Linked DNA regions of Macaca fascicularis. The protein of the gene in region 1 purifies or fractionates together with the protein of each later gene. This does not show direct contact. Links are inferred from orthologs where the notes say so. Each region holds a gene or a part of one and is shown in the gene's direction. Other genes may lie near its edges. The genes, in order: DNMT1, MTA2, EZH2, SNAI1, PARP1, EHMT2 and SIRT1.

Region 1 (4,491 bases):
TGAAACCCTGTCTCTCCCACTAAAAATACAGAAATTGGCCAGGCGTGGTGGAGTACGCCCGTAATCCCAGCCTACTAGGGAGGCTGAGGCATGAGAATCGCTTGAACCTGGCAGGCAGAGGTTGCAGTGAGCCAAGATCTCACCACTGCACTCCAGCCGGCGTGACAGAGTGAGACAAGGTCTTACCCCGTCGCCCAGGCAGGAGTCCAGCGGCCCAATCATAGCTCACTGCAGCCTATACTGCCAGGGCTCAAGCCATCCTCCCACCTCAGCCTCCTGAGTAGGTAGGATTACAGGTGTATGTCACCATGCCCAGCGAATCTTTGTATTTTTTGTAGAGATGGGGTATCCCTATGTTGCTCAGGCTGGTCTTGCACTCCTAACCTCAAGCGATCCTCCCACCTGGGCCTCTCAAAGCACTGGGATTACAGGCATGAGCCACTGCGCCTGGCATAGTGCTTCTTAATTTATTTTTACTTTTTATTTTTATTTTTTTGAGACACGGTCTTGCTCTGTCTCCCAGGCTGGAATGCAGTGGCGCAATCATGGCTCACTATAACCTCTGCCTCACTGGTTCAAGCGATCTTCCTGCCTCAACCTCTAGAGTAGTTATACTACAGGCACACGCCACTACGCCTAGCTAATTTTTGTTTTCCTTTTTTTCTTTTAAGAGATGTGGTTTCTCTTAAACCAGGAGGCGATCCTCCTGCCCTGGCCTTCCAAAGTACTGGGATGACAGGCATAAGCCACGTGGTGCTTAAAAAGGGGAACAAAAAACCCCACACACACTGGGTATAGAAGTGGCACGGGTCTCTATACACTGTGAGATTCTTGGTACTAGCTACAAATTCTGTGCATACTCAAGATTTTCTAGAGTAGGTGCAATTACCCCGTTTTACAGACGAGGACACAGAGGCTGAGTCCTAGTGACCCATCCAAGGTCGTACAGCCAGCAAATAGATGGAGGTTGAATTGGAACTGAGGACTTTACTCAAGGGCTCTCACAAGCCCTTGGGGACTTCTTGCTGCTTTATCCCCATCACACCTGAAAGAATGAATGAATGAATGCCTCGGGCACGGTGCCCACCTCCCAGCAAACCGTGGAGCTTGGACGAGCCCACTGCTCCGCGCGGGGGTGCGTGACCGCCTCGCGCATGCGTGGTCCCTGGGCATGGCCTGCTCCGTTCCATCCTTCTGCACAGGGTATCGCCTCTTTCCTTTTGGTACATCCGCTCCCCCCTCCCCGCGCCCGGACTGGGGTGGTAGACGCCGCCTCCGCTCATCGCCCCTCCCCATCGGTTTCCGCGCGAAAAGCCGGGGCGCCTGCGCTGCCGCCGTCGCGTCTGCTGCAGCCTCCGAGATGCCGGCGCGTACCGCCCCAGCCCGGGTGCCCACACTGGCCGTCCCGGCCATCTCACTGCCCGACGATGTCCGCAGGCGGTAGGTACCGTGGGGGGAACGTGGACTCGGGGGGCCAGGCAGGGCGCTGGGTGGGGGGTCGCTTCCCCTCGGGGTGGCCAGTGGCCGCTGCTGACAGACGGGCGCGCATGCGTGGGGTGGTGCGGCGCGCAGCGGCAGTTGGCGCGGGCAGGGTGGCACTTCCGGTCGCGCGTGCCCGGGCTGTTTGGCGCCAAAATGGGCTGTGGATTCCCCCGTAGCTCCCTGGTGGCTAGAAACTGGGCGGGGTGGGGGTTCTCTTTTGATCCCCAAATACAGCAAGCTTTGGGTTCGTCTCCGGGGTCCCCTTCTCCAAGCAGCGGTGGGCCGGGCTCCTGCCTCCAGCTTGGTAGCACAGGAAGTGGGCAGCCCGCGGCCAACGGACACCCCTCGGGCACCGGCACTTCGGCCTCCACTTCCGGTGTCCGGCCCGGTCCCCGGTGGTGCTTCTCTGGTGGGGGGTCCCTCAGTGCCTTTCCCCCAAAGCTGTGCATCCCGATGGCGGCCTCCAGAGACGGACGTCACCGGTCGGGGCCCGGGCTGGGCTGGCTCATGTTTGAGAGCCCAGCCTTCCGTAGGGGGAACTCATTCTGTCACTTGGGACTGTGTGTTCCTTGCTCCTTGGGAAAGTCTGTGTTTTGGCAGGAACTTGAACCGTGCAATGCCGCGCAGGGCCCGGGAAGCGTGAAGGCTCCATGGTTGGTCTTTTCCTGTAAATCTGTGCCTGTGAGCCGTGGGCATCAGGGAAGTCTTGCTATTGAGAACTGGCTACACTTTCGTGTGTGTTTGCGTGTGTTCGTGGGTGTGTTCTTTAGTGTGTGTGTCTAATGTTGGAGGCCCTGGCTTTAGCAATTCATGCCTCTGTCCGACTTCCGTGCACAGGATCAGTGGGAGCAGTGGTCCCAGCCCCTTGTCCATGAACGCCATCTATTCATTCCTAACAACTTGTTCAAGGGAGGTGTGCATGAGGCATAGGAACCCTCACCAGGCCTGGACACTTCCAGCTGAATCTGTGAAAGCACTCTGCCATTTTTCTATTTCCTTGGGCTTGTTAACTGGCCTGGTTGGGCCTTTGGGGAGGGATGGATATTTGGTTCGACCCCCTACTTTTTTTTTGAAGGCTGGGTGCTGTGGCTTACGCCTGTAATCCCAGCAATTTGGGAGGCAGTGGCGGATGAATCTCTTGAACCAGGGGTTTGAGACCAGCCTGGGCAACATGGCAAAACCCCATCTCTACTAAAAATACAAAAATTAGCCAGGAGTAGTGCCATGTACCTGGAGTCCCAGCTACTCAAGAGACTAAGGTGGGAGTATCACTTGAGCCCCAGAGATTGAGGCTGTATATAGTGAGCCGAGATCGTGGTACTGCACTCCAGCCTGGGTGACAGAGTGAGACCCTGTCTCAAAACAAACAAACAAACAAAAACAACAACAACAACAATTTTATTTTTAGAGATGAGTCTCACTCTGTTGTCCAGGCTGGAGTGCCCTGGCACAATTATAACACACTGTAGCCTTGAACTGCTGGGCTCAAGGGATCCTCAGCCTCCTGAGTAGCTGGGACCATAGGCGACCACCACCATGCCCAACTGACTTTTAGTTTTTTCTGTATACATGAGGTTTCACCATATTGCCCAGGTTGGTCTTAAACCCCTGCCCTTAAGCAGTCCTCCTGCCTCTGTGTCCCAAAGGTTAGGGTTACAGGTATGAGCCACCATGCCTTAACTACAACTTTTTTATTTTGAGATGGAGTCTTGCTCTGTCACCCAGGCTGGAATGCAGTGGCGTGATCTCAGCTCATTGCAACCTCCACTTCCGGGGTTCAAGTGATTCTCCTGCCTCAGCCTCCTGAGTAGCTGGGATTACAGGTGCCCACCACCATGCCTGGCTAATTTTTGTGTTTTCAGTAGAGTTGGGGTTTCTCCATGTTGGCCAGGCTGGTCTCGAACTCCTGACCTCAAGTGATCCACCCGCCTCAGCCTCCCAAAGTGCTGGGATTATAGTCAAACCACTTCTTAACCAGTTAGTGGGTATATACCTTCTTGAATCATCTGTACCAGTATCCTCCCAAGATAAAACTTGATTTAAAATGGAATGGAAGTGAAGTTACAAAAGTACCTGGCTTCATGATGTTAGACCCAATTCAGAGAAGTTTGGGCCCGGCCTTCCTTTTTTATTCCTTTTTTTAATTTTGTAGAGACGGAGTCTTGCCATGTTGCTCAGGCTGGTCTTCAATTCCTGGCCTCAAGCGATCCTCCTGCCTCAGCTTCCCAAAGTGTTGGGATTACAGGTGTGAGCCACTGTACCTGGCCTGCCCAGCCTTCTTGAAAACATGGCCTCCACTGGCTCGATGATCTTAAACAAGCATATGCCACCTCTATATCCATAGTCTAGGAATAATGACATGTGTTTTCAGGTGGTATTGGGTTAAATGAGAATATGCATGGCACATAAAGGTTCATATGCTAGTGGCTAACTTAGCTTGTTTTTTAAGTTTTTTCTTTTAAGACACGGGATCTCACTGTGTCACCCAGGCTGGAATGCAGTGGCATAGTCATGGCTTACTGCAGCCTCAAACCCATGAGCTCAAGCAGTCCTCTTGCCTTAGCCTCCTGAGTAGCTGGCACATGCCACCATGCCCAGCTAATCCTTAAAAAAAATTTTTAGAAGGCCGGGCTCAGTGGCTCACGCCTGTAATCCCCGCACTTTGGGAGGTCAAGATGGGTGGATCACCTGAGGTCAGGAGTTTGAGACTAGCCTGGCCAACGTGGTGAATCCCCATCTCTACTAAAAAAAAAAATTAGCCAGGTATGGTGGTGGGCACCTGTAAACCCAGCTACTCAGGAGGCTGAGGCAGGATAATCGCTTGAACCCAGGAGGCTTGAACGGAGGAGGTGGAGGTTGCAGCGAGCCGAGATTGCGCCATTGCACTCCAGCCTGGGCAACAGGAGCAAAACTCTGTCTCAAAAAAAAAAAAAAATTTTTTTTTTTAGAGATGAGGGTCTTGCTTTGTTGCCCAGGCTGGTCTTGAACTCCTGGGCTCAAGCAGTCCTC
Region 2 (3,487 bases), on another chromosome or scaffold:
TTTTCCCTTCTCCTCGCCTTCCCCATTAGCACTAAGCCAAACCCTAACCAGATCATTTCTGTGGGTTCAAAACCTGGCATGAATGGGGCTGGATTTCAGAAGGGCCTGACTTGTGAGAGTTGCCACAGTGAGTTATGGGGGCACTGGGATGGTGGGGATGGGTGGAAGGCCTGCTGTGGCTCAAGAATCTGTGGGGCTCAGGTAGCATGCTTCTTCCCTGTCCCCCTCCTCTCCATGCTCTGCAGCCACACAGTCTGCTCAGTGGTATGCCTGGGGCCCACCTAACATGCAGTGCCGCCTCTGTGCTTCCTGTTGGATCTACTGGAAGAAATATGGGGGACTGAAGACCCCAACTCAGCTTGAGGGAGCCACTCGGGGTACCACGGTAAGGATCAGTGGGGGTAAAAGCAGGGGAGAGCAGTAAGCATATTGATGTGAGCTTAGGTGAGGGCCAGAATATCCAACTCTTTATATGGTGATGGTTTGATGGGCAGGGGGTGCTTGATGCTGGTTGGGGAGACATATAGGCCAAGAGGTCAGTAAAGAGATTAGGCAGGAATAAATTGTCTTCTGCAGGGAATGGAAGAAAGAAGGGAGCCTCAATGCTGATTTCTGCTCTCTCTCTTTCCTATGCTCTTCTTCTAGGAGCCACACTCGAGGGGTCATTTGTCCAGACCTGAAGCTCAAAGTCTCTCCCCTTATACAACCAGCGCCAACCGGGCCAAGCTACTGGCTAAGAACAGGCAAACTTTCCTGCTTCAGACCACGAAACTGACCCGTCTTGCCAGACGCATGTGCAGGGACCTATTACAGCCGAGGAGGGCTGCCCGACGGCCGTATGCTCCTATCAATGCCAATGCCATCAAAGCAGAGTGTAAGGACAGGGAGTGATGGGGCTGGTGGTGGGTTTAGGGTTGCTCTGCCCAGAGACGATTGTTTCTCTGGATGTTTAATAACAGGAGGCATAGTAGGCCACAGGTAATTTTTTAAAGATTAGACTTGGCTTCTGGCCTCAGAGGAGACCTGAATGGTGAAGCCCTTCAGAAGCTTTCATCTTTGTTCTGCAGGCTCCATTCGACTTCCTAAGGCCGCCAAGACTCCATTGAAGATTCACCCTCTGGTGCGGCTGCCCCTGGCAACTATCGTCAAAGATCTGGGTATGGGATGAGGACCAGTGAGGGTGGCATCAGGCTCCCAGTCCGTTCCCTGTCCAACATCTTCTCTCCCCTTGTTTTCTTCTTCCCCATAGTGTCCTCAGAGATTTAGTCTAACAAACTGTACTTTTGTTGTTTAATAATTTTTTTTGTAAACTATTCAGTGTTACTGTACTGATTTGATAAGGTCATACTGATATTTGAAATACTAGTGATAGCTTGCCAGAACCTTACCCCATTGCTACTTTTGGGGATGCCCAGGTAAACTGCTGGTCCAGGGGAAGAGATGGAAGTAACAAAGGGGAACTGTGTAGGGAAGAAAAGGTGTGAAAGTTTTCTATTACTTTTTTTCCAGTGGCCCAGGCACCCCTGAAACCAAAAACACCTCGGGGTACCAAGACACCGATCAACAGAAACCAGCTGTCCCAGAACCGGGGACTGGGGGGCATTATGGTGAAACGGGCCTATGAGACTGTGAGTTGACAGAAAGGGGTGGGCCAAGCTGAGTTGGGTGGGCTTTTGTTTCTCATAGGAGTCTGAGAGGGTCCCTTCCCTCATTGTGCCATCCTGCCTCTTTTCCAGATGGCAGGGGCAGGGGTTCCTTTCTCTGCCAATGGAAGGCCTCTGGCTTCAGGGATTCGTTCAAGCTCACAGCCAGCCGCCAAGCGTCAGAAACTAAACCCTGCTGATGCCCCCAATCCTGTGGTGTTTGTGGCCACAAAGGATACCAGGTAGGGAGTCTACCATGGGAGGGGCTGAGAGGGACAGTCCAGGCTGTGAGTGTGGGGAGTAGGAGTTTCAGAGCAAGAGCTCTAGGAAGGTTGTGGATGCAGGGTGGGGATGCCAGAAAAGAATGGGCCAGAAGGCAGAATTGCAGTGTGGAATGTGGGGCTTCACCTGGAGGGCTTAGTGTTCTCTAAGCCTTTTCTGTTTCTCACTTGCTCTTTCTGGCCAGGGCCCTACGGAAGGCTCTGACCCATCTGGAAATGCGGCGAGCTGCTCGCCGACCCAACTTGCCCCTGAAGGTGAAGCCAACGCTGATGGCAGTGCGGCCCCCTGTCCCTCTACCTGCACCCTCACATCCTGCCAGCACTAATGAGCCTATTGTCCTGGAGGATTGAGCACCTGTGGGGGAGGGAGGTGGGCTGAGAGGTAGAGGGTGGATGCCCAGGGCACCCAAACCTCCCTTCCCTTTCGTGTCAAAGGGAGTGAGGAGTAAGGAAGAGAGCAAGTGAGTGTGCGTCCCTGGAGGGGTTGGGCGCCCTCTGGTGTTACAACCTCGAGACTTGTCTCATGCCTCCATGCTTGCTGATGGAGGACAGACTGCAGGAACTTGGCCCATGTGGGAACCTAGCCTGTTTTGGGGGGTAGGACCCACAGATGTCTTGGACAGTTTTGGGGGGAGGGTTTTTTAATTTTTTAAAAATTTTGCCTCCCTTTGTGAAAGGGGATGGGGAGGGGAAGAGTAAACAGATAACAGGTGGTGGTACCTGGTTGGGGGAGGGGGGCGTGCACTGCCATGTCTTTTTTTTTTTTTTCCTAATTGGGGGTTTCTCTTTCTGTCCGGTGTCCGGACTATCCTAATTGGAGTTTGAGGCCCCTAAGCTGGCATCAACCCCAGGCCATGCTCGCTCTTTCCTTCCCTCCCCTCCCCCTCCGCCTTTTGTACGCCAGTTCTCAGAAATAAAGATCTTTTGTCCGTTTTTTTAACCTCGGATTCTGTAATTGGTTCTTATAGTAACAAATAAAAAGCTGTTTTCTTCAGCTTCTCCTGGCTCAGCTGTTCTTTGCCATGGGTGTGTGTTGTGTGTGTGTTGGGGGTGTCTTTGACAGGGAAAATAAAGGACAAAGGACAACAAAGGAGGTACAGATGGTTCTTGCCTTGGGAACAGCTTTATGAGATATGCAGCCTGGACCGAGGCGGCTTGCTCCAGCTAGCCTTCTTGTGGGATCCAAACTGCTCCCCAGCTCCCAGTGGTGATGGAGCCCAAGCACCATCTTGGCCCAGATTCCTTCAAAGGAGTTGAGATGAGCTTTCTGGATGACTGGTGGCCTCCATAGGAAAGGAGAATGGGGGTGTTTCTTCCTCTGTTTCCCACCTCTTACTCCCCTCTCCCTTTCACTTAAGGAATTCTGGAAGTTGCTGGCAGCCAGGGTAACATGTATACCACCTTGGTGGTGGTGATGGGGTTATAGGAGGATCTCCTCACCTAGCTGTGTGGTGTATTTGGCAGATGAGAATTCTACCATTGAACCACTCGAGCACCTCTGGGTGTATGTGTACAGCCTGCTGCTTCAGGATCCTCAAGGCCAGTCTCAGCAACTGCCTTGAT
Region 3 (4,370 bases), on another chromosome or scaffold:
TGGAACCAACTCACCCCAATTTTTTTTTTTGAGATGGAGTTTCGCTCTTGTTGCCCAGGATGGAGTGCGATGGTGCGATCTTGGCCCCCTGCAACCTCCGCCTCCCAGGTTCAAGCGATTCTCCTGCCTCAGCCTCCCGAGTAGCTGGGATTACAGGCATGTGCCACCACGCTCAGCTGATTTTGTGTTTTTAGTAGAGATGGGGTTTCTCCATGTTGGTTAGGCTGGTCCTGAACTGCCGACCTCAGGTGATCTGCCTGCCTCAGCCTCCCAAAGTGCTGGGATTACAGGCGTGAGCCACTGCGGCCAACTTGTGTGTGTGTGTGTGTGTTTTTTTTTTTTTTTTTTTAAGCTCAGCGAGAAGACTTTGGTTCCTCACTTTCTCCAAGGATAATTACTTCAGGATGTGGAAATATTTCTGAGTTGGGGTCCTTAATATACAGTTATTCTTAGATTTATCAGTGTGCAGACTGAATGGGAAAGAGAACTTGGCTGTAGTGACCCTTTTTGTTTTCTTCCGAAGGTCCAGTATTCACTGTGTGTGCTTTTGCATGTGCTGTCAGACTTGATCACCTTTATCCAAAAGAATTTTCTCTTGTGTCTTTCTTTTTAGATTATTTCTCAAGATGAAGCTGACAGAAGAGGGAAAGTATATGATAAATACATGTGCAGCTTTCTGTTCAACTTGAACAATGGTATGTATCTGAGCTGGGAGGCAGTGAGTTCCTCTGAGTTGCATGTGGCAGCCTTCTGCCTGCCAAGTGTTCAGAAACGAGGGTGGAGGTCAGTGAGGTGACCAGAAGGAGGATCTCCTTAGAGGCATCGGGGGCTGCTTGCTTGAAAGGAACTGGAGCAAGGAATTCCTCAGGGAGCAGATGGACTAGGTGTGCAGGAAACCGCCTCTCTGAAGCCCTGGCCATCTGTGAGTGGCGCTGTACCAGTGTCTGGCTGTGACGGGGATGTTGTGCTCTTGCTGCCTCACCTCTTGTGTTCAGGCAGCTCAGCTCACCTCCTGCAGTCAGTGCCTCGGAGCTGGGAAGGAGGGGAGGAGCCAGACTCCCCTGGATATTCTCAAAGGACTGGGAGGAAAGGCAGTTGCTTTCATAGCTGATGTTCTGGGGTAGAATGTAAGTCTGTAGGGATATTTCTGGTGGGATTGTTCTGGTGGGAGGTTGGCTTAACATGTAAGATATTCAGAGAAACTCTTAGTTGGAACAAGTAGAATAGATTTTTTCTAGGAATGCTTTATAGACATTATAAAAAAAACTAATGTTAAATGAATTGATGTTCAGAAGAATTTTGTCAGATTCTTTTTAATTTTTTTTTTATTTTGCTTAGTAATGTATGTTTATAGTTGATAATTAATAGCTTTTGTGTCAGATAACCATCTTGAATTATAGGTGATTAATTTTAACCTGGAACAATAGTGTGTTCTTCCAAATGTCATTTCTTACTGAATGAAGTTGCTTGAATGATTTATTTGCTTTTGCAGGCAAACCCTGAAGAACTATAACCGGTTGCATTTACAGAATCATAATAACTTGATTTACTTATAACTGAAATTATTCACTGGGCTCATTTTCCTCTTTTTAGATTTTGTGGTGGATGCAACCCGCAAGGGTAACAAAATTCGTTTTGCAAATCATTCGGTAAATCCAAACTGCTATGCAAAAGGTAGGTATCTTTGACGTCAGAATTGGAACTCCCTTTTTAATCCTGTGATGATGGACTTGAATACTTCTGGGATAGTTGTTTGTTATGTGAACAAGTCAGTTAACCTCCCGTGGCCTGTCTTCATGCTCACTGACACCAGTGTGTCTCTTTCCAGTTATGATGGTTAACGGCGATCACAGGATAGGTATTTTTGCCAAGAGAGCCATCCAGACTGGTGAAGAGCTGTTTTTTGATTACAGGTTGGTAAAGTACATTTCTAACATGATCTCTAAGGGCTTTTTCTACTGGATCGTGAACGCTGGGCGAAGGATTTTTTTAGTTCTTTGCTAGATGTGCTGAGGGGTGGGGGTGAGTTGTTTTGACGGGTCACTTTGCCTTGAGCATTAGTGGGGAATTAGGTTATACTTTCCTGTTATGTATTCACGATCCATTTATTTATTATAAAAGTCATGCTTATTTTAAAAATAGAATCAAATCCATGCAGAAAGCCCCGTTTCTCACCCTGCTGTTGACAGCTGGGTGAGTCCTAGACCTTCTCATATCATGCCGCATGCTGCATGCTTGCTTGTGGAGCGTTTTTCCAGATAAGTGTGATCACACTGTCCTATAGATTTTTCTGCAACATGGTTTTACTTGACAATATACTATGTATATCTTTACTGATTAGATCTACTTAATTTATTGTTTGCTATAATACTTATTACACGTATCATTACCATTTTAAAAGGTGCTGTTGGCAAATCACTGTCTGGTCACCCTGTGGGGATGCCTGGGACATGTGGGCCACCGATGGTATCTGTGTGGTTAGGCATTAGGCTGCCAGTTGACACAGTCAAGCTCTGTGGGATACATTTAAGTCATCCATTGAATACAGATTTAGGTGCAGTCAGATGACTGTCTAGTTAATGAACTCCTGTGGTCCCATGTACATCCCATCCAGAAGCTGTCTTTGAGTACTGAGTTCTTGAATATTCAGGCTGGCCTTTAATGGCTGTTGCATAGCCGAGAGCTCTCAGTGAGGCAGACAGGGTCTGAGTGAAAGGCCTACTTTACTGAGGGCCGCTGCCTTCATTCCAGGCCGGCTCTGAATGAAGAGTGTGGGGTGGAGCTGGGGTTGGAGGCAAAGCCATCCAGTTTCCTTGGGAGGGCCTGGTGGCCCCACCCACTATTTCTGGGTGTCCACTGTACTCCAGTTCTTTCTTCACCTGGGGGAACAACTGGCGGGCTGCTCTTTGGCCCTCTTTGCCATGGTCATCGTTTTTTTCCAGACCATGGTTTTATTTTGCCTTTCCACCGTCGGACCTAAACATCATGATGTGGACCAGCCTTCCTGGGGCCACTTGCTTCAGAGGCATAGGGGAGGCTGGGCAAGCTCTGGAAATGCTTGTAGACAGGTTTGTTCAGTTCAGAACTTGGCAGCGTCTCACTTAGATGGCCAGCAACACAGACCTACGCATTGCCTTCTACGAGTGTGCCCTTATGCAGGCAGCTGTATAATTGGATGGTTTTTTGTTTTGTTTTGTTTTGTTTTAAGACATTTTAATGCACCCACTGTCTTCAGCAGGCTTTGTTGTGTTAAGTAAGTCTCAGCACATGTTGGATGGGTGGTCATCCAGCGGACTTCTGCTTCTTCCTGTTGTTTCAGATACAGCCAGGCTGATGCCCTGAAGTATGTCGGCATCGAAAGAGAAATGGAAATCCCTTGACATCTGCTACCTCCTCCCCCTCCTCTCTGAAACAGCTGCCTTAGCTTCAGGAACCTCGAGTACTGTGGGCAATTTAGAAAAAGAAAATGCAGTTTGAAATTCTGAATTTGCAAAGTACTGTAAGAATAATTTATAGTAATGAGTTTAAAAATCAACTTTTTATTGCCTTCTCACCAGCTGCAAAGTGTTTTGTACCAGTGAATTTTTGCAATAATGCAGTATGGTACATTTTTCAACTTTGAATAAAGAATACTTGAACTTGTCCTTGTTGAGTCATCTCTCATAACATGTCAATAACTGCTTTTAGTACTGCCCAACAAAAAACTTTTAAATTTACCTCCTTGAGTTTTTTAGTTGTCTTTGTATGAATCTTGATTTTAACTAATACTGCCTGGTAATATGTGGAAGACATTCATATATGAAGAACTGCTGTGCATCCTGAGGGCTGACCCAGTAAAGGGCTTGATTTTATAGACAAGACCAGGGTGGGTGGGTACGTTCCAGTCAGCTGTGCAAACTGGAGAAAGTGATTTAACCTCCAAGTCTGTTCCCCATATATAAACTGACAGAGTAGACTTAGCTTATTTTTAAGAACTCACCTAGTTCTAAATGCCGTTAGTCTAGATAGAGTTCTTTAGAAATACAATATAAGTTGGGATTCCTTACCTACCTACTGACAGGTATAACCAAACTAGTTTTATATCTTCTCAAAGAAGAGGTAAAAATCACAAACTCTAAGCATCAAGGAAACAACATGTGCCTTGCATGCCTTACCATGTGGTCGGTCTCAGAATTTGGGGGAATTTCTCTGCACCCTCCCCCGGTACATTCACCAGCAGCATCATGGGAACCCTCACAACCGCTGCAAACCAGACCACACTCAGTTACTTGGCAGTTGCCTTTTCTACAGTTAGATTTTATTTACAATGTGATAGTATTAATGTGAAACCTAATTAAATCGACTCATCTTGCTTTCCGGTTCCACAACAT
Region 4 (4,299 bases), on another chromosome or scaffold:
CCGGGCCTGGTATGCCTCCCAGGGAAGCTGGGGTGGGGGTGCAGCTGCCCCTCACCTGGGCCCACCCCACATGCATTCAGTCAGGGCCCCTACAGAGCAACGTTAGAGCCTTTAGACACAGGATCGAGGATCTTCACAGGGGTGAGGAGACACGCCCGGCCCATCCCTTCTTTCTCCCGCCGGCCTACAAGGATCTTTTTCTACGAAACTCTAACCAGGTCCCTCGTCAGCTGAAAATCCTTCGGTGGCTCCCCAGTGCCTTTGAGGCAAAGTCCAACCTCCTACGAGGCCCTGGGGCACAGCACATCTGACCCCTCCGGGCCTGCCCACCCCACGCCATCCCTGAGAGCTGCTCTCTAGGAGTTACTCTGAAGCAGTTGCCACTTCTTCCCTCGGGCCTTTTCCCTTGATAATTCTTCACTTCCTCTGGGAAGTCACCCCGACCCCCTGTCAGGTGACCCGCCTCTTAACGGTCGCTGCGTCCCGTCTCTCCCCCGCCAAAGCACACTTCCCTTTGCATTGTAATTGTCTGTTTACTTCGTCTGTCTCCCCCACTGGACCGGGAGCTACCCTTCGGGAGAGGCCTTGAATGTCCTGTCCGGGGCTGTGCCCTGCCCCAGGTACAGCTGGGCCCTCCGCAAACACTGGCTAAGGGAAGGAACGGGCGCTCTTCGCTAGCTGGGCCAGGCTGCTTTGCAAAACGGCCGTAGCATTTCACGCCGCCAGGAGCCACGTGCGGTGTCCGTTTCCTCGCTTCCTCCCCAGCAATGTGCATTTCCCTCGTCAATGCCACGCTCTCCAGGCGCCAGCCGGGCGGAGGAAATTTCCGCCCCCTCCTAAGCCCGAGGCGGGGGCGGGCGTCGGAAGGTCAGGTGTCCCGGCCCGCGCGCAGCGCCAGGGGGCGTCAGAAGCGCTCCGACCACGGGGCGCTGAGCAGGTGGGCGCGCGGCGTTCTGGCGGGGTCCCACCTCGCAGGGGCCTCGCTTCGCTCGACGTCCCGCCCCGGACAGTCCGAGCACCACGGACGACCCGCGCTGCGCCTGCGAACTCCGCCTCGGAGGAGCCCCCGCCCGGGCTCCCAGCGCCACGCGGCGCGAGCCCGGCCAGCCCCCGGCGCACCTGCTCGGGGAGTGGCCTTCGGCGGAGACGGGCCTCCGATTGGCGCGGAGGTGACAAAGGGGCGTGGCAGATGAGGCCCCTCCCCTCCCACCCCCTTGGAGTATTTAAGGGAGTTGGCGGCGCGGCTGCTCTCATTGCGCCGCGGTCCGGCCTTGTGAGTGGTACGTTTGCGCTGCTCCTGCGCGACTCGGCGACCCCAGTGCCTCGGCCACCATGCCGCGCTCTTTCCTCGTCAGAAAGCCCTCCGACCCCAATCGGAAGCCTAACTACAGCGAGCTGCAGGACTCTAATCCAGGTGTGTTGGAGGGGTGGTGGGCTCCAGGAGGTTTGGGGGAGACAGGCGAAGGCTGCGTGGGGGCCACCTGAGGGAGGCGGCCTGTCTGAGCCAGGATCGAGTCACAGGGTGTTTTGTGGAGCATTGCGGGCTCGGGCTCGGGCTCGGGAGACCGGGCAGGTGGGTCCCCAGTCCTGGGGATCGGTCTGGGTGGTTGGGGGAGTGCTGTGTAGAGAGCAGGGGTTTTGTGCTTGGGTGGCCTGTGTAGCCGGCGAGAGGCGGAGGAGCTCCGCGAGAGTGGGAGAGGAGGCCTGTGTCAGGAAGGCCCTCTGGACGCTGCTGGGGAGAGTCCGGAGTCCAGAGGGTTGAGGGGAGGGGTGGGGAGACGAGATGTGTGTGAGGAGGGGGATTGGGGCAGGGTGGTGGCTCCAGGGCTGGGGTGATGGGGTTCTGGCCTCAGGCTGGGGACTTGGGACTTAGGAGAGGGAGATCTGGAAATGACCCCCTTCAACTGGGGGTCCTACCTGTGAGAGACTCAGATTGGGTGACCTGGGCCAGGAGGGCAGGAACCTGGTCTGTCCTGTGGATCATTTTTTTGATCTAATTATGTGTTGAGAATCAGCCCTACCCAGCCCCTGGCCAGCGGTGGGTTCATGTTTGTTGATTGAGTGAATGATTTAATTAACGCCTGACTCTGCTTTTTCTCTCTCAGAGTTTACCTTCCAGCAGCCCTACGACCAGGCCCACCTGCTGGCAGCCATCCCACCTCCAGAGATCCTCAATCCCACCGCCTCGCTGCCAATGCTCATCTGGGACTCTGTCCTGGCGCCCCAAGCCCAGCCAATTGCCTGGGCCTCCCTTCGGCCCCAGGAGAGTCCCAGGGCGGCAGAGCTGACCTCCCTGTCGGACGAGGACAGTGGGAAAGGCTCCCAGCCTCCCAGCCCACCCTCACCGGCTACTTCGTCCTTCTCCTCTACTTCAGCCTCTTCCTTGGAGGCTGAGGCCTATGCTGCCTTCCCAGGCTTGGGCCAAGTGCCCAAGCAGCTGGCCCAGCTCTCTGAGGCCAAGGATCTCCAGTCTCGAAAGGCCTTCAACTGCAAATACTGCAACAAGGAATACCTCAGCCTGGGTGCCCTCAAGATGCACATCCGAAGCCACACGCTGCCCTGCGTCTGCGGAACCTGCGGGAAGGCCTTCTCCAGGCCCTGGCTGCTACAAGGCCATGTCCGGACCCACACTGGTAAGTGCCCCTCCAGGCGCCCCCACCGTTGCTTTCTGTGGCAGCTTTGTGAATTGGGACTTGCTGTTCTCATTCGCAAAGTTGTGGACACTGAGGCCCCGAGTCTCCTAACTTCTAGCTCAAGTTCAGGGGCCTGCTCTCTGGAAATGTTTGGCAGAAACGTTCCTTCATCAGCTAAGCAGATGAGCAAAGCAGACACCTTCCCAATCCCTGCAGCCTGTTTCTCAGCCAAATGGGCTGGAGCTGGATATCGGAAAAGTGCAACCAACACCTTGCTCTGGGGGCCACAGGTGTGAAGGGGCCCACCCAGCCCCACCCTCTCCCGGTCCGCCCCCTCCCTAGCCAGACAGGATGTTGTCAGACCCCCCACCTGGCTCTGAATCCTTTGAGAACTTTCTCAAAGCTTAGGCTGATGTTTCACTTCTGTGAGCCTCATTTTCTCTATCTTTCAGATGGGCATGAGAACAGCTTGTGGGGTTTCTGTACGGGCTAAATGCAGGAATGCATATGGGAATCACCTGGCAAAGTGCCGGGTACCTGCTAAACTGTCACAAAAATGGTTCCTTGGCATTTGCTCTGCTTCCCTGCTGTGTGACTTTGGGCAAGCAACTTAACCTCTCTGAGACTCGGGAGAATTATGATGGCATATGTTTTAGAGAGTGGCTGTAGGCCGGGCGCAGTGGCTCAAGCCTGTAATCCCAGCACTTTGGGAGGCCGAGACGGGCGGATCACAAGGTCAGGAGATCGAGACCAGCCTGGCTAACATGGTGAAACCCCGTCTCTACTAAAAAAAATACAAAAAACTAGCCGGGTGAGGTGGCAGGCGCCTGTAGTCCCAGCTACTCGGGAGGCTGAGGCAGGAGAATGGCGTAGACCCGGGAGGCGGAGCTGAGATGCGGCCACTGCACTCCAGCCTGGGCGACAGAGCGAGACTCCGTCTCAAAAAAAAAAAAAAAAAAAGAGAGTGGCTGTAAAGGTGGCTAATCACTTTATAGTAATTTATTATACCCGAATAGTTCTCAGGTCGGCTTCCCCACCCCCACTCAATCCTAGCACACACACCAGAAAACAGCAATTTTAGGGCAGAAAACACAATCACGTCTTTCGAAAATTTACTAAATATGTAGAAAACTTTCTGGACATGGAGAAAAGGTAGAACTTTTTAGAACTTGAACGGTGGCAGCCACTGTGCCTGGAGCTGCTCTTTGGAGAGGGACAGTTGAGGGAGAAGATTCCACAGGGTTCAAGCTGGCCAGGTTCTACCATTCCTGGCCCGGCGCCTGACCTCTGAGCAGTGAGGGTCAGTGAGGTATCTGGGAGGACTGGCATTTCGCGGGCTTTATTGGCATCTTATTCGACTAAGGCTACCCATTTCTTTTCCTTCCTGCACCAGTAGCCCTGATTTTAACATGTAAAGGTCCAACTGCTGGGCTCCCCGTGCCTGCCCAGCTCACAGGGCTCTATTTTGGGAGATTTGAACCCCTCAGGATGCTGCTCTCCTGCCTGCCTCTCTCGCCTCCCATCCGGACATTATTTTAATGTAAAGGCATGGCTGAGGCACAGAAATCCCCTTGAAATGTATCATTTCGGTCCTCATTGACTCCCATTGTGTGCCTTAATGGTGGGCCCAGTGGGTGGGGGCTGGGAGGGGTGGAGCAGGTGCATG
Region 5 (3,762 bases), on another chromosome or scaffold:
AACCTCCCCTGGCTGACTTAGGGGGCGAGACCTGGGGGTGGCCAGGGGTAACATTTACTCAAGGTTAAGAAACTGGAAGTACTGAACTGCATATCACGAGGGTTTAGATTTTTTTTAGTTCAATAAATGGCAAGTGCCTGCCACTTACAAAAGTTTATCATAAAACTAATGAATGGCAACTTTTTCAGTTGTCAGATACATAGTAAACTGCCTATAAACTTGAAGACGTTGGTTACCCTCTCTCTTAAAAGTAAAGGCATCCCTCTGTATCCTCGAGGATTGGTTCCAGGACTCCCTTGTGGTCACTAAAATTCACTCATGCTCAAGTCCTACAGTCCACCCTGCAGAACCCATGGAGGAGAAAAGTTGGCCCTGCACATCTGTGGGTCTCGCATCCTGAGATTTTTTTTGTGGGAGGGGGAATTTTTCTTTTCTTTTTCTTTTTTGAGACAGAGTCTCGCTGTGTCCCCCAGGCTGGAGTGCAGTGGCACAATCTCAGCTCACTGCAACCTCCGCCCCCAGGTTCAAGCGATTCTCATGCCGAGTAGCTGAGGTTACAAGCATGCGCCACCACGCCCAGCTAATTTTTTGTGTTTTTAGTAGAGGTGAGGTTTCACTATGTTGGCCAGACTGGTCTCGAACTCCTGGGTTCAAGTGATCCGCCCACCTCAGCCTCCCAAAGTGCTGGGATTACAGGCATGAGCCACCGCACCTGGCCTGAGAATAATATATTTTTGATCTGAGTTTGGTTGAATTCTCAACTGCAGAGCCCACAGGTGTAGAGAGCTAACTGTATTTATTGAAAACATCTGTGTATAAGTGGACCTGCACACTTCAAATCGATTGTTCAAGGGTCACCTGCGTTGTGGTTTTTATTTTATGTGTCCTTAAGAGTTAGGCAGAGTTTATTGTGCAGTTACTAGGAAGTCATCAGATGGAAACCTTTCATTCATGTTATTTCAACATTCTTCAAGCATCTTTCAAGGTCTCCCAGTCCTGGAACCTTCCAGCTACATCCCGGAGAAGCTGGAGGGTTCCGCTTATGTTTGTGGGTGGATACAGGCTTGGCCTATAGAAAGAAGGAAAGCACACGGGAAACAGAAGTGGGCCTAGGCAGCGGGCTTTCTGGCTGGTGCTGGAGAAAAGGCCCTGAACCGGATCTGTCAACTCCAGTTACAGCTGGCTCTGAGCAGTGAACGTCTCTCCTTATTCCTCACTGACTGAGAACTTGCAAGGCTTTCCTCAGCCCCTGCTTCTTCCCATGCCATAGTCTTCAGGTAGAAGAGCTGGAATAGCATCCTTACCCATTTCCAGAGCCACCTGGGCAGCACAGATGGAAGTTGTACGACTTGGTGAAGTCCATGTTACAGCAAGAAGCAGGCGTGGGGCTTCAGACCTGCTGGGTGCCACTTGATACCCCCTTGACCTTCTTGTGGTCACCTAGGCTGTCTGCCAAATTCCTGGAATCCCAATGGCCCCACTCTTCATCTCTGTGCATTTTTTGCACACCCTTTACATATAGAGCACCAAGTGACACTGGCAGTAAGTGTAAGGGTTGCTTAGCCTTTCTGTGCCTGGCCACTTCAACCTCCGGGTACAGTAAAAACTAATGCCAATGAAGGTCAGTGGAGACAAGGAGCCTGACTGAATTTTATAGCAATGGGCAACTTCCTCCCAACATTTTATTATGAAAATGTTTCAAACATACAAAAAGTTGAAGAAATTTTACAGCAGTAGTCATGAGCCCACCACCTAGATTTTACAGTTAACATTTTGCATAGTTGTGGCGGGGTTTCAGATGTCTGTAACTGCACAGTTCTTTGTACAAATGAAAGTTCATGGGAGAAGCCCATTGTGTTGAGCAGTGCTTTTAGAGGATGGGGGTCCTGTGCTGCTCAGTGGTGTAGCTTTAACAGGAAGGTGGTCTTCTGGTCGTTTCCCATGCATCCTGGCATGTGCACATACCACGCTACTTCTGGACCTGCTGCAGCACCCACCTGCTAGAAGAGAAAGCCTGGCCGGGGGCTCGGAGCTGCTTCGTCAGTCTTGTGTTCCTTCTGTCCCCTCGTCTCCAGGCAGTGTCTCAGGGCAGCAGCGACTCTCAGATCCTGGATCTCTCAAATCGCTTTTACACCCTGATCCCCCATGACTTTGGGATGAAGAAGCCTCCGCTCCTGAACAGTGCAGACAGTGTGCAGGTACACAAGGGTTCAGAAGGGACTGCAGGTCTGCTGGGCGAGGGTGTGACTCCCTTGCAACCGTCCCTCCCCGTCATGATCCCCGAGGGCAGCGCCGATGCTGGGAGGGCCACCTCCTTGCCCTTGTTTTGAAGTTGGGTTTCTACCCACACTGATGGAGGCAGAGCCATTTTTCCTGCCTCTGTTCCACCAAATCCACTGGGGAAAGAGCTGTTGGAGAGGGAGAGCCTCTCCCTCATAACAACGTCTTCCTCCCCATTTTCCCTCTCTGCCTTTTAAGAGAGCTCCTGGCTCAGGAAACATTTGTCTGAAGTACCTTCATTATAGGTCCCAAATGTCAGCTTGTATGAGAGGAAAGACAGTTCTTCCACCTCTCAACTCCCCCAGGCCGCAAGGCCTTGTTAGCATTCCAGGAAGTCCTTAGGAGAGCTCACTGTGTGCAGCAGGTAACAGGCTGGCCCTGACCAGCAGGAAGGTTTGCCCTTCACTGTGTTGAACGTTCTCTGCATGTAGGTTTTCTCTGCCACCTGGGTGAGTCTGTCTCACTCACCATGATACCTAAGTCAGGGGCTTGCTTTTGCTCCTCCAGGCCAAGGTGGAAATGCTTGACAACCTGCTAGACATCGAGGTGGCCTACAGTCTGCTCAGGGGAGGGTCTGATGATAGCAGCAAGGACCCCATCGATGTCAACTATGAGAAGCTCAAAACTGACATTAAGGTAACAGGGTCAGGCCTTCCTCAAACATTTAACCTCATCCTGAGAGCAGCGGTCCCATACTTGCATGTGTGTTAGGATCTCCTGGAAAGCTTGTTAAAACACAGATGGCTGGTGCCCAGTAATTTACTTTTCTAACAAGTTCCCGGACATTGCTGCTGGTGGTCCTTTGAGAACCTCTGGGCATTTCACATGTAGATAATGCACCTTGCTTGCAAGGCAGCCTTCCAAGCCAGCACCTCAGCTTGGCATACAAATTGATTTTTGAGGGTCTTACCAAAAGTTCTTTTTTTTTTCCCCCTCCTTAATCTAGAGAGGAACTCTGTTTTTCTAAACCCTTGTGGTGTGAACTTTTAGAGGGCTTATTACCGATGTCCATTTCAGAAGTGGAAATGCTTGATGGCAGCTCTAATAAAAACACAGTGCTTGGGTTCATTTTTCTCTGGAGCTAAAGTGGCCTGTGTTGGCACACACAGTCTCTGAACACCCTGCTTAGACCAACAGAGGAGGGATTTTTGCCTCAGCTTCTAGATGGCCCTGTCCTTGAGCCTATCTCCACGCTCATGTGCCCCATTGTCCTCAGCCCATTCCCTGCAGTGTTGCAGGGGTTCAGGTGGGCTAGTGTGTTGAGTCTGGTACCAGGTGTTTACATCACTAAAGAAAGAGCCTTTGCTCCTTTCCTAGGACAAAGTGTAGATCTGTGAGTCCAAGCAGGTAAGACGCCACATGTCACTTATTTTGCCCCTAGAGCACCTTCCTGATGGGAAAACTGTGGGGGTGGTTCTTTGTGAAGGGATTCTTATTCTCTGTTTACAATTCTGAAGACTTTTAATTAAAAGACAGTGAGGT
Region 6 (3,762 bases), on another chromosome or scaffold:
ATGGTCAAACACCACTGCTGCCCGGGCTGCGGCTACTTCTGCACGGCGGTGAGTGACCAGTGGGGCAGACAGGTAGAATGCCCCATGGCAGACGGGGCCCCGGCAACCTGACCATGTCGTTTCCCTGCTCCCAGGGCACCTTCCTGGAATGCCACCCTGACTTCCGTGTGGCCCACCGCTTCCACAAGGCCTGTGTGTCTCAGCTGAATGGGATGGTCTTCTGTCCCCACTGTGGGGAGGATGCTTCTGAAGCTCAAGAAGTGACCATCCCCCGGGGTGATGGGGTGACCCCACCGGCTGGTGCTGCAGCTCCTGCACCCCCACCCCTGTCCCAGGATGCCCCCGGGAGAGCAGACACTTCTCAGCCCAGGTACTGGCCTCCCCCTTCTCTACTGTCTGTTCCCTGCCCCATCACTATTGTTCCTGGACATGAGCTCCTTCTTCCACAGCGCCCGGATGCGAGGGCATGGGGAGCCCCGGCGCCCACCCTGCGATCCCCTGGCTGACACCATCGACAGCTCAGGGCCCTCCCTGACCCTGCCCAATGGGGGCTGCCTTTCAGCCGTGGGGCTGCCACTGGGGCCAGGCCGGGAGGCCTTGGAAAAGGCCCTGGTCATCCAGGAGTCAGAGAGGTGAGTGGGGAGTTGTTCAGGCACAGTAACTGGGGCTGAGGCCAGAGGAGCAGTGTCAAGACTGATGCTGGAATCTGAGGAGCTCCCCTTCTCTCCCCACTCCCGTGCTCCCTTGGCAGGCGGAAGAAGCTCCGTTTCCACCCTCGGCAGTTGTACCTGTCCGTGAAGCAGGGCGAGCTGCAGAAGGTGATCCTGATGCTGTGTGAGTGCCACCTATTCCTTCAGCAGACCTTGACCAAGTTCCATGTATATACCAGGCACTGGGCACAGGGCCAGGAGTAGTCATGAAGGATATAGTCCTTGCCCTGAAGGACTTAGTGTGGTGGGGAAAAGACACACATAACCCGTGACGATGGGAACGGTGGTGACTCATAGGTGCTGGGTCCTGTTCTGAGTGCTTATACTTGTTAGCCTTGGCTTGCACAGGGAGGTTAGGGACGTTGCACAGTGCACAGCGGTACTGAGAAGCAAGGCAGGGTTTGAATTCAGGCAGAGCTGATGCCTTTGACTCCTTATTCTGATAAATGCCGTGGTGGAGGCAAGCCCAGAGAATGCCAGGAGGGGCCCTGACCCAACTTGGGGCTCTGAGAAGCCTTCCTGAAAGAAGTGCCACCTGCCCCCTAGCTTGCTTACCACTTGTCCCTCCCTCTCCCGGTGTGGCGGGCTCTCCCCGCAGTGGACAACCTGGACCCCAACTTCCAGAGCGACCAGCAGAGCAAGCGCACGCCCCTGCATGCAGCCGCCCAGAAGGGCTCCGTGGAGATCTGCCATGTGCTGCTGCAGGTCAGCACGGGCCCGGCCCCATGCCTCATTCACCAGGCCCTTAGGCCCCTCCCCTGCCCCATGCCTCCCTGGTGCCAGCCCTCCTGCCCCCTCACAGGCTGGAGCCAACATAAACGCAGTGGACAAACAGCAGCGGACGCCACTGATGGAGGCCGTGGTGAACAACCACCTGGAGGTGGCCCGTTACATGGTGCAGCGTGGTGGCTGTGTCTATAGCAAGGTGTGCATGCAGGCAGCAGGGCGTGGCCCCGGAGTCAGGGACCAGGTTTGGGGTGCCAGCCGGAGACTCATTTGCCCATGTCTCCCTCAGGAGGAGGACGGCTCCACCTGCCTCCACCACGCAGCCAAAATCGGGAACTTGGAGATGGTCAGTCTGCTGCTGAGCACAGGACAGGTGGACGTCAACGCCCAGGTCAGTGGCCCACCCAGCGCAGCTCCTCCGGCTCCCTGGTGCCTGGGTTCCTTGGCTCGGCCTCAGACTTTGGGCCCCCTTTCTACATCTGACCTCTGGCCCTTTCACTCTGCCTCAGGCCGCTTGTGTCTGTCCCCCTTGCTTTCTTCCTCATTTGTATTTCTCTTCATTCTTTTCTTTTTCTTGTTTCTTTCTCTTGATCAAGCTTCAGAATAATCAGTTCCTGCCTTCATCTCTGAAAGTGTCCAGTGAGGCTTTTTTAACTCTCAGGTTGTCATACATTGGATGTGTTTTCGTCATTTATTGGGATTCTTCTCAGTCTTTGAATTATTCCATCATTATCTAGGAGAAGCCCCTTCAAGAGGCCTCTGTGGCCGTGACATGACCCAGTGGCCTTTGAGAGCGTCCTGACCTTTCAGCACATTTCCTGCCCCTGACTCAGCATCCACCATTTCTCTAAGAAACTCTGCTTCCTTTATGGGAAACTTTTTTTTTCTTTTCTTTTTTTTTTTTTTTGAGATGGAGTCTTGCTCTGTTGCCCAGGCTGGAGTGCAATTGCGTGATCTTGGCTCACTGCAACCTCCACCTCCTGGGTTCAAGTGATTCTCTTGCCTCAGCCTCCTGAGTAGCTGGGATTATAGGCACCAGCCACCGTGCCCAGCTAATTTTTGTATTTTTAGTAGAGATGGATTTTCACCATATTGGCCAGGCTGATCTTGAACTCCTGACCTCATGATCCACCCACCTCGGCCTCCCAGCGTGCTGGGATTACAGGCGTGATCTGGCCACTGCGCCGGCCAGAAACATGTTTTAGAGAATAGTCTATGGACCTCGGAGTGTTTATTATTACTGGGTGGTCACTGCTTCTAGGACTTGTGAATGGGCAGACTGAGGAAATTTTTGTTTGTTTTTTGTTTTAAGAGACAGAGTCTTGCTGTGTCACCCAGGCTGAAGTACAGTAGCAATTCACAGACAGTCATAGTTCACTGCATTCTCGAAATCCTGGGCTCAAGCGACACTCCCATCTCAGTCACATGAGTAGCTGGGACTACAGGCACGCGCCTCCATGACCAGCTCCTGGCTGTATTTTTTGGAAAGAGAACAATTACTCACTTTACTTTCTCTCCGGCATCAGGCAGTAGGCACTACTAGTCCCATTTTTTAGATGAAGAAACTATGACCCAGAGACGTTAAGTGACTTACCCCGGGTCCCACAGCTCGTGAATGGTGGAGCTGGGATTCACACACACAGCCAATCTTGACCATTTGCAGCTTTGGTGAGCAGGCCCAGCCGCCCCCACCCTCACTCCCTTCCCACCCACAGGACAGTGGGGGGTGGACGCCCATCATCTGGGCTGCAGAGCACAAGCACATCGAGGTGATCCGCATGCTACTGACGCGGGGCGCCGACGTCACCCTCACTGACAACGTGAGTGAGAGTTTGGTTGAGGTAGGGCAGCCCCAGGCCCCTGAGCAAGGTGGAGGCTGGATTCAAGGGCCCAGCTGCCTGCACCTCATCTGTTCCCCTCCTATCTCCACAGGAGGAGAACATCTGCCTGCACTGGGCCTCCTTCACGGGCAGCGCCGCCATCGCCGAAGTCCTTCTGAATGCGCGCTGCGACCTCCATGCTGTCAACTACCATGGGGACACCCCCCTGCACATCGCAGCCCGGGAGAGCTACCATGACTGCGTGCTGTGAGCCCCTGCCCCGCCCTTGATGCCCCTGCCCCCACTTCTTGCAGCCTCAGACCCCACATTGGGCACCTTGTCCCCTCTTCAGGTTATTCCTGTCACGTGGGGCCAACCCTGAGCTGCGGAACAAGGAGGGGGACACAGCATGGGACCTGACTCCCGAGCGCTCCGACGTGTGGTTTGCGCTTCAGCTCAACCGCAAGCTCCGACTCGGGGTGGGAAATCGGGCCATCCGCACGGAG
Region 7 (3,762 bases), on another chromosome or scaffold:
ATTTTTCTTTAAAGAAAAAAATCTGAATTTGCAGCCAACAAAAATTAGATATCCTAAGGTTGTGTTACTTCTGACTTTTATTAAAATATCAACATTTATTAGAGATATTTATGGGCTGACTTTGTCTTTTTCTTCAAGGGGCCAAGTTCACTAATTGCTGAGTTTTATACATGACAGCAACAGTCCTTTTGTAGGTGTGTGTTGCATCCATCTAGATACTTTAAAATGCTCATCTATTTCATTTTTAAAATTATATGTGGGGGATTATCGGTAGTTTTTTGTTAAACATATGACATCTGTAGTTTATTTCACTAATGTAAATTTTTTCTACCTTTTACTTGATATAGGAAATATATCCTGGACAATTCCAACCATCTCTCTGTCACAAATTCATAGCCTTGTCAGATAAGGAAGGAAAACTACTTCGCAACTATACCCAGAACATAGACACGCTGGAACAGGTTGCGGGAATCCAGAGGATAATTCAGTGTCATGGTTAGTAAACTTCAGAATGGTTTTCTGTAATTTATTTTAGTTTTATAGGAGGATTTTTCCTCTAAAGCAGACTGCCATTGAGAAGTGGAGATAAAGCATTATTTAATCATGTTATCTCGTTAATTATAGATAACCTCCGAAAAGTAGAAAAGTAGAAAACAAAAATAATAAAAACAGTTAATTATATAAAACCTCAAATATTAATTTGCTTTTGATTTCAAAAGATGCTGCAGTTGCATGCATTCAATTATTTTAAATAATCTTTTCTGGCTGGGTGTGGTGACTCACGCCTGTAATCCTAGCACTTTGGGAAGCTGAAGCGGGCGGATCACATGAGGCCAGGAGTTCGAGAACAGCCTGGCCAACATGGTGAAACCCTGGCTCTACTAAAAATACAAAAATTAGCCGGGCATGGTGGCGTACCTGTTATCCCAGCCACTTAGGAGGCTGAGGCATGAGAATCACTTGAACTTGGGAGTTGGAGGTTGCAGTGAGCCAAGATTGCACCATTGCGCTCCAGCCTGGGAGACAGAGAGTGAGACTCTGTCCAAAAAAAAAAAAAAAAACTGATTACAAGAGTAATGTTAGCTATTAATGAAGAAATGTGACATCTTTAGTTTATGAAACTAAAAGAACTGGATAGTTGAGATGTACAGAATTCAGAGATTCAGAAATGTTTAATGTAAAACAAGTATGAACACGCCATTAGGTATCTAAAGTGTTTCTAAGAACTGCTGAACTAAGGTAATAGAATTGGAACTGTTCAACTCTGCAGGATTTTAGCTCTGCAGGAGCGAGTTATTACAGTTTTGTTCAAAAGAGTAGCTTTAGAAGGCATCATTATTGTCTCAGCGATTGAGAATTGTGTTCATTCTATGTATAAATAAATATATAAATTATTCATCCCCTAGATTCTCCTGTAGTGTATCACAAAATCTGCAGTGTGTTCTGAGGTTTAAAATCAAAGTTAAAAATCTTTAAACCCTGTTAACATTTCTGATGTCAAACTTTATAACATTCGTGGTGTGTTCAAGAAACAGAAATACTTCATTAATAAAGCACATATATGTTGGTTGTTTTTAGGTTCCTTTGCAACAGCATCTTGCCTGATTTGTAAATACAAAGTTGACTGTGAAGCTGTACGAGGAGATATTTTTAATCAGGTAATTTGTTTCCCGTATTTTAGGAATTGTGCATGTCTCTGAAGTATTTCTTCTTTTGCCTCAAAATCCTTTTTTTACCCTTAAAGGTATACGTGATACAGAAATATTCAGGAAGAAAATAGTAATTGGGAATTTTGGTAAAATATACAAGAACCTTTCAATACCTTATATAGAAAACAGCCCTATAAAGTCTGTTAAAATTATGAAATTGGCTTCTTAGTATCTAAGCCGAACCTAAAACATCAGATCATAAGCAAGTTGTTGTTGTTGTAGTTTTTCTCCTTCCTCTTTTTGTGCCTGTCAGATTTGAACCTTAAATTAGTTGTGGTAATCTTTTAAAATTATTTCATACATGTTCATTGCCAAAAAATATAGGAAAATGTAGCAGAAAATAAAAATTATCCAGAAATATGTCCTGTGTGCTTAGCAATATATAGAGTTAATTATATTATTATGAAAGAGGAAGAATAGTATATTAAAATGGAATCATTGTTCGGGTGCAGTGGCTCATGCTTGTAATCCCAGCACTTTGGGAGGCTGAGGTGGGTGGATCATTTGAGGTCAGAAGTTCAAGACCAGCCTGGCCAACATGGCAAAACCCCGTCTCTCCTAAAAATACGAAAATTAGCCTGGCATGGTGGCATATGCCTTTAATCTCAGCTACTTGGGAGGCTGAGGCAGGAGAATCATTTGAACTCAGGAGGTGGAGGTTGTAGTGAGTTGAGATCATGCCACTGCACTCCAGCCTGGGCAACAGAATGAGACTCCATCTCAAATAAATAAAATGGAGTCATTTTGTTTTACAAATGTGTATTTTTCTTTTAAAGGATCAATTCCCATTTTGTGTATATACACACATTGTGTTTTTCCTCTTATATGATGGACTCTTCAATGTCAAGTGTTTTTCTATATAGATATTATAACAAGAGCATAGTATTTCACTGTTTCATAGTATGTTAATAAACTACCCATCATTGACGTTTAGATTGTTACCCAGTTGCTGTTTATCTATAGCTTTTCTGTTTTTTTTTTTTTTTTTTTTAATAATTCTGAAATGTATTCTTAGAGGTATGGAAATGTTGACTATTTCTAACTTGAGCTTACTGTTTGCTTCTCTGTCTCAACCAAAATCTGAAAATTCGTAGGTAGTTCCTCGATGTCCTAGGTGCCCAGCTGATGAACCGCTTGCTATCATGAAACCAGAGATTGTGTTTTTTGGTGAAAATTTACCAGAACAGTTTCATAGAGCCATGAAGTATGACAAAGATGAAGTTGACCTCCTCATTGTTATTGGGTCTTCCCTCAAAGTAAGACCGGTAGCACTAATTCCAAGTAAGTTGGTGATGGCTTTTGGAGATCATTTCTATATATAATGTCATGGGTTGTGGATCTGTATAATAGACCCTAACTCTAGTAATCTTACTCTGCTTCTGTTTGAAAGAGTGGTGAAGAGCTAATTTTCGAAATTGTTTGTTTATTTATTGAGATGGAGTTTCCCTCTTATTGCCCAGGCTGGAGTGCGGTGGCGTGATCTCAGCTCACTGCAACCTCCGCCTCCTGGGTTCAAGCGATCCTCCTGCCTCAGCCTCCTGAGTAGCTGGGATTACAGTTGTCCACCAACATGCCTGGCTAACTTTTTATATTTTTAGTAGAGACCGGGTTTCGCCATGTTGGCCAGGCTGGTCTCGAACTCCTGAGCTCAGGTGATCCACCCGTCTTGGCATCCCAAAGTGCTGGGATTACAGGCATGAGCCACCATGCCCGGCCAGAAATTGTTTATTTATAGTAGAGATGAGGTCCTGTTGTGTTGCCCAGGCTGGATTTGAACTCCTGGGCTCAAGGATCCTCCTGCCTCAGCCCCTTGAGTAGCTAGGATTACAGGCACAAGCCTCCACATCTGGCTCAACTATTTTTTATGTGGCATTGTTGTTCATTGAGACTGGTGAATCTGACATTTTGATGGGGTGTGGAGGGTTGTCAAAACACAAGTAACGTTAGTGACTCATGCCTGTAATCTCAGCACTTTGGGAGGCCGAGGTGTGTGGATCCCTTGAGGGCAGCAGTTTGAGACCAGCCTGGCCAACATGGTGAAACCCTGTCTCTG

The links.
Region 2: the proteins of DNMT1 (region 1) and MTA2 purify together in Homo sapiens (affinity purification with western blotting; 3 studies listed by BioGRID and IntAct, with this or other methods). This does not show direct contact. The link is inferred for Macaca fascicularis from reciprocal best matches to the Homo sapiens genes DNMT1 and MTA2.
Region 3: the proteins of DNMT1 (region 1) and EZH2 purify together in Homo sapiens (affinity purification with western blotting; 6 studies listed by BioGRID and IntAct, with this or other methods). This does not show direct contact. The link is inferred for Macaca fascicularis from reciprocal best matches to the Homo sapiens genes DNMT1 and EZH2.
Region 4: the proteins of DNMT1 (region 1) and SNAI1 purify together in Homo sapiens (affinity purification with mass spectrometry; 3 studies listed by BioGRID, with this or other methods). This does not show direct contact. The link is inferred for Macaca fascicularis from reciprocal best matches to the Homo sapiens genes DNMT1 and SNAI1.
Region 5: the proteins of DNMT1 (region 1) and PARP1 purify together in Homo sapiens (affinity purification with western blotting; 4 studies listed by BioGRID and IntAct, with this or other methods). This does not show direct contact. The link is inferred for Macaca fascicularis from reciprocal best matches to the Homo sapiens genes DNMT1 and PARP1.
Region 6: the proteins of DNMT1 (region 1) and EHMT2 purify together in Homo sapiens (affinity purification with western blotting; 3 studies listed by BioGRID, with this or other methods). This does not show direct contact. The link is inferred for Macaca fascicularis from reciprocal best matches to the Homo sapiens genes DNMT1 and EHMT2.
Region 7: the proteins of DNMT1 (region 1) and SIRT1 purify together in Homo sapiens (affinity purification with western blotting; 3 studies listed by BioGRID and IntAct, with this or other methods). This does not show direct contact. The link is inferred for Macaca fascicularis from reciprocal best matches to the Homo sapiens genes DNMT1 and SIRT1.

What each region holds. Positions count from the first base shown.
Region 1 is NC_088393.1:10,740,041-10,744,531, reverse strand, and holds the start of DNMT1 (DNA (cytosine-5)-methyltransferase 1), read left to right. Parts: upstream 1-1,611; 5' UTR 1,612-1,635; coding exon 1,636-2,135; intron 2,136-4,491. UniProt on the Homo sapiens protein: Methylates CpG residues. Preferentially methylates hemimethylated DNA. Associates with DNA replication sites in S phase maintaining the methylation pattern in the newly synthesized strand, that is essential for epigenetic inheritance.
Region 2 is NC_088388.1:11,464,373-11,467,859, forward strand, and holds the end of MTA2 (metastasis-associated protein MTA2), read left to right. Parts: intron 1-29; coding exon 30-127; intron 128-245; coding exon 246-385; intron 386-645; coding exon 646-874; intron 875-1,067; coding exon 1,068-1,157; intron 1,158-1,509; coding exon 1,510-1,628; intron 1,629-1,736; coding exon 1,737-1,885; intron 1,886-2,109; coding exon 2,110-2,275; 3' UTR 2,276-2,918; downstream 2,919-3,487. UniProt on the Homo sapiens protein: May function as a transcriptional coregulator. Acts as a component of the histone deacetylase NuRD complex which participates in the remodeling of chromatin.
Region 3 is NC_088377.1:190,462,358-190,466,727, reverse strand, and holds the end of EZH2 (histone-lysine N-methyltransferase EZH2), read left to right. Parts: intron 1-613; coding exon 614-695; intron 696-1,593; coding exon 1,594-1,674; intron 1,675-1,828; coding exon 1,829-1,913; intron 1,914-3,319; coding exon 3,320-3,380; 3' UTR 3,381-3,644; downstream 3,645-4,370. UniProt on the Homo sapiens protein: Polycomb group (PcG) protein. Catalytic subunit of the PRC2/EED-EZH2 complex, which methylates 'Lys-9' (H3K9me) and 'Lys-27' (H3K27me) of histone H3, leading to transcriptional repression of the affected target gene.
Region 4 is NC_088384.1:106,067,522-106,071,820, forward strand, and holds the start of SNAI1 (zinc finger protein SNAI1), read left to right. Parts: upstream 1-1,252; 5' UTR 1,253-1,332; coding exon 1,333-1,414; intron 1,415-2,105; coding exon 2,106-2,633; intron 2,634-4,299. UniProt on the Homo sapiens protein: Involved in induction of the epithelial to mesenchymal transition (EMT), formation and maintenance of embryonic mesoderm, growth arrest, survival and cell migration.
Region 5 is NC_088375.1:84,283,193-84,286,954, reverse strand, and holds part of PARP1 (poly [ADP-ribose] polymerase 1), read left to right. Parts: intron 1-2,075; coding exon 2,076-2,198; intron 2,199-2,787; coding exon 2,788-2,916; intron 2,917-3,762. UniProt on the Homo sapiens protein: Poly-ADP-ribosyltransferase that mediates poly-ADP-ribosylation of proteins and plays a key role in DNA repair.
Region 6 is NC_088378.1:139,822,749-139,826,510, forward strand, and holds part of EHMT2 (histone-lysine N-methyltransferase EHMT2), read left to right. Parts: coding exon 1-48; intron 49-134; coding exon 135-370; intron 371-449; coding exon 450-632; intron 633-751; coding exon 752-834; intron 835-1,308; coding exon 1,309-1,415; intron 1,416-1,512; coding exon 1,513-1,635; intron 1,636-1,725; coding exon 1,726-1,827; intron 1,828-2,650; exon of another isoform or gene 2,651-2,908; intron 2,909-3,030; exon of another isoform or gene 3,031-3,151; coding exon 3,152-3,277; intron 3,278-3,368; coding exon 3,369-3,523; intron 3,524-3,608; coding exon 3,609-3,762. UniProt on the Homo sapiens protein: Histone methyltransferase that specifically mono- and dimethylates 'Lys-9' of histone H3 (H3K9me1 and H3K9me2, respectively) in euchromatin.
Region 7 is NC_088383.1:78,656,517-78,660,278, reverse strand, and holds part of SIRT1 (NAD-dependent protein deacetylase sirtuin-1), read left to right. Parts: intron 1-347; coding exon 348-495; intron 496-1,578; coding exon 1,579-1,658; intron 1,659-2,803; coding exon 2,804-2,990; intron 2,991-3,762. UniProt on the Homo sapiens protein: NAD-dependent protein deacetylase that links transcriptional regulation directly to intracellular energetics and participates in the coordination of several separated cellular functions such as cell cycle, response to DNA damage, metabolism, apoptosis and autophagy.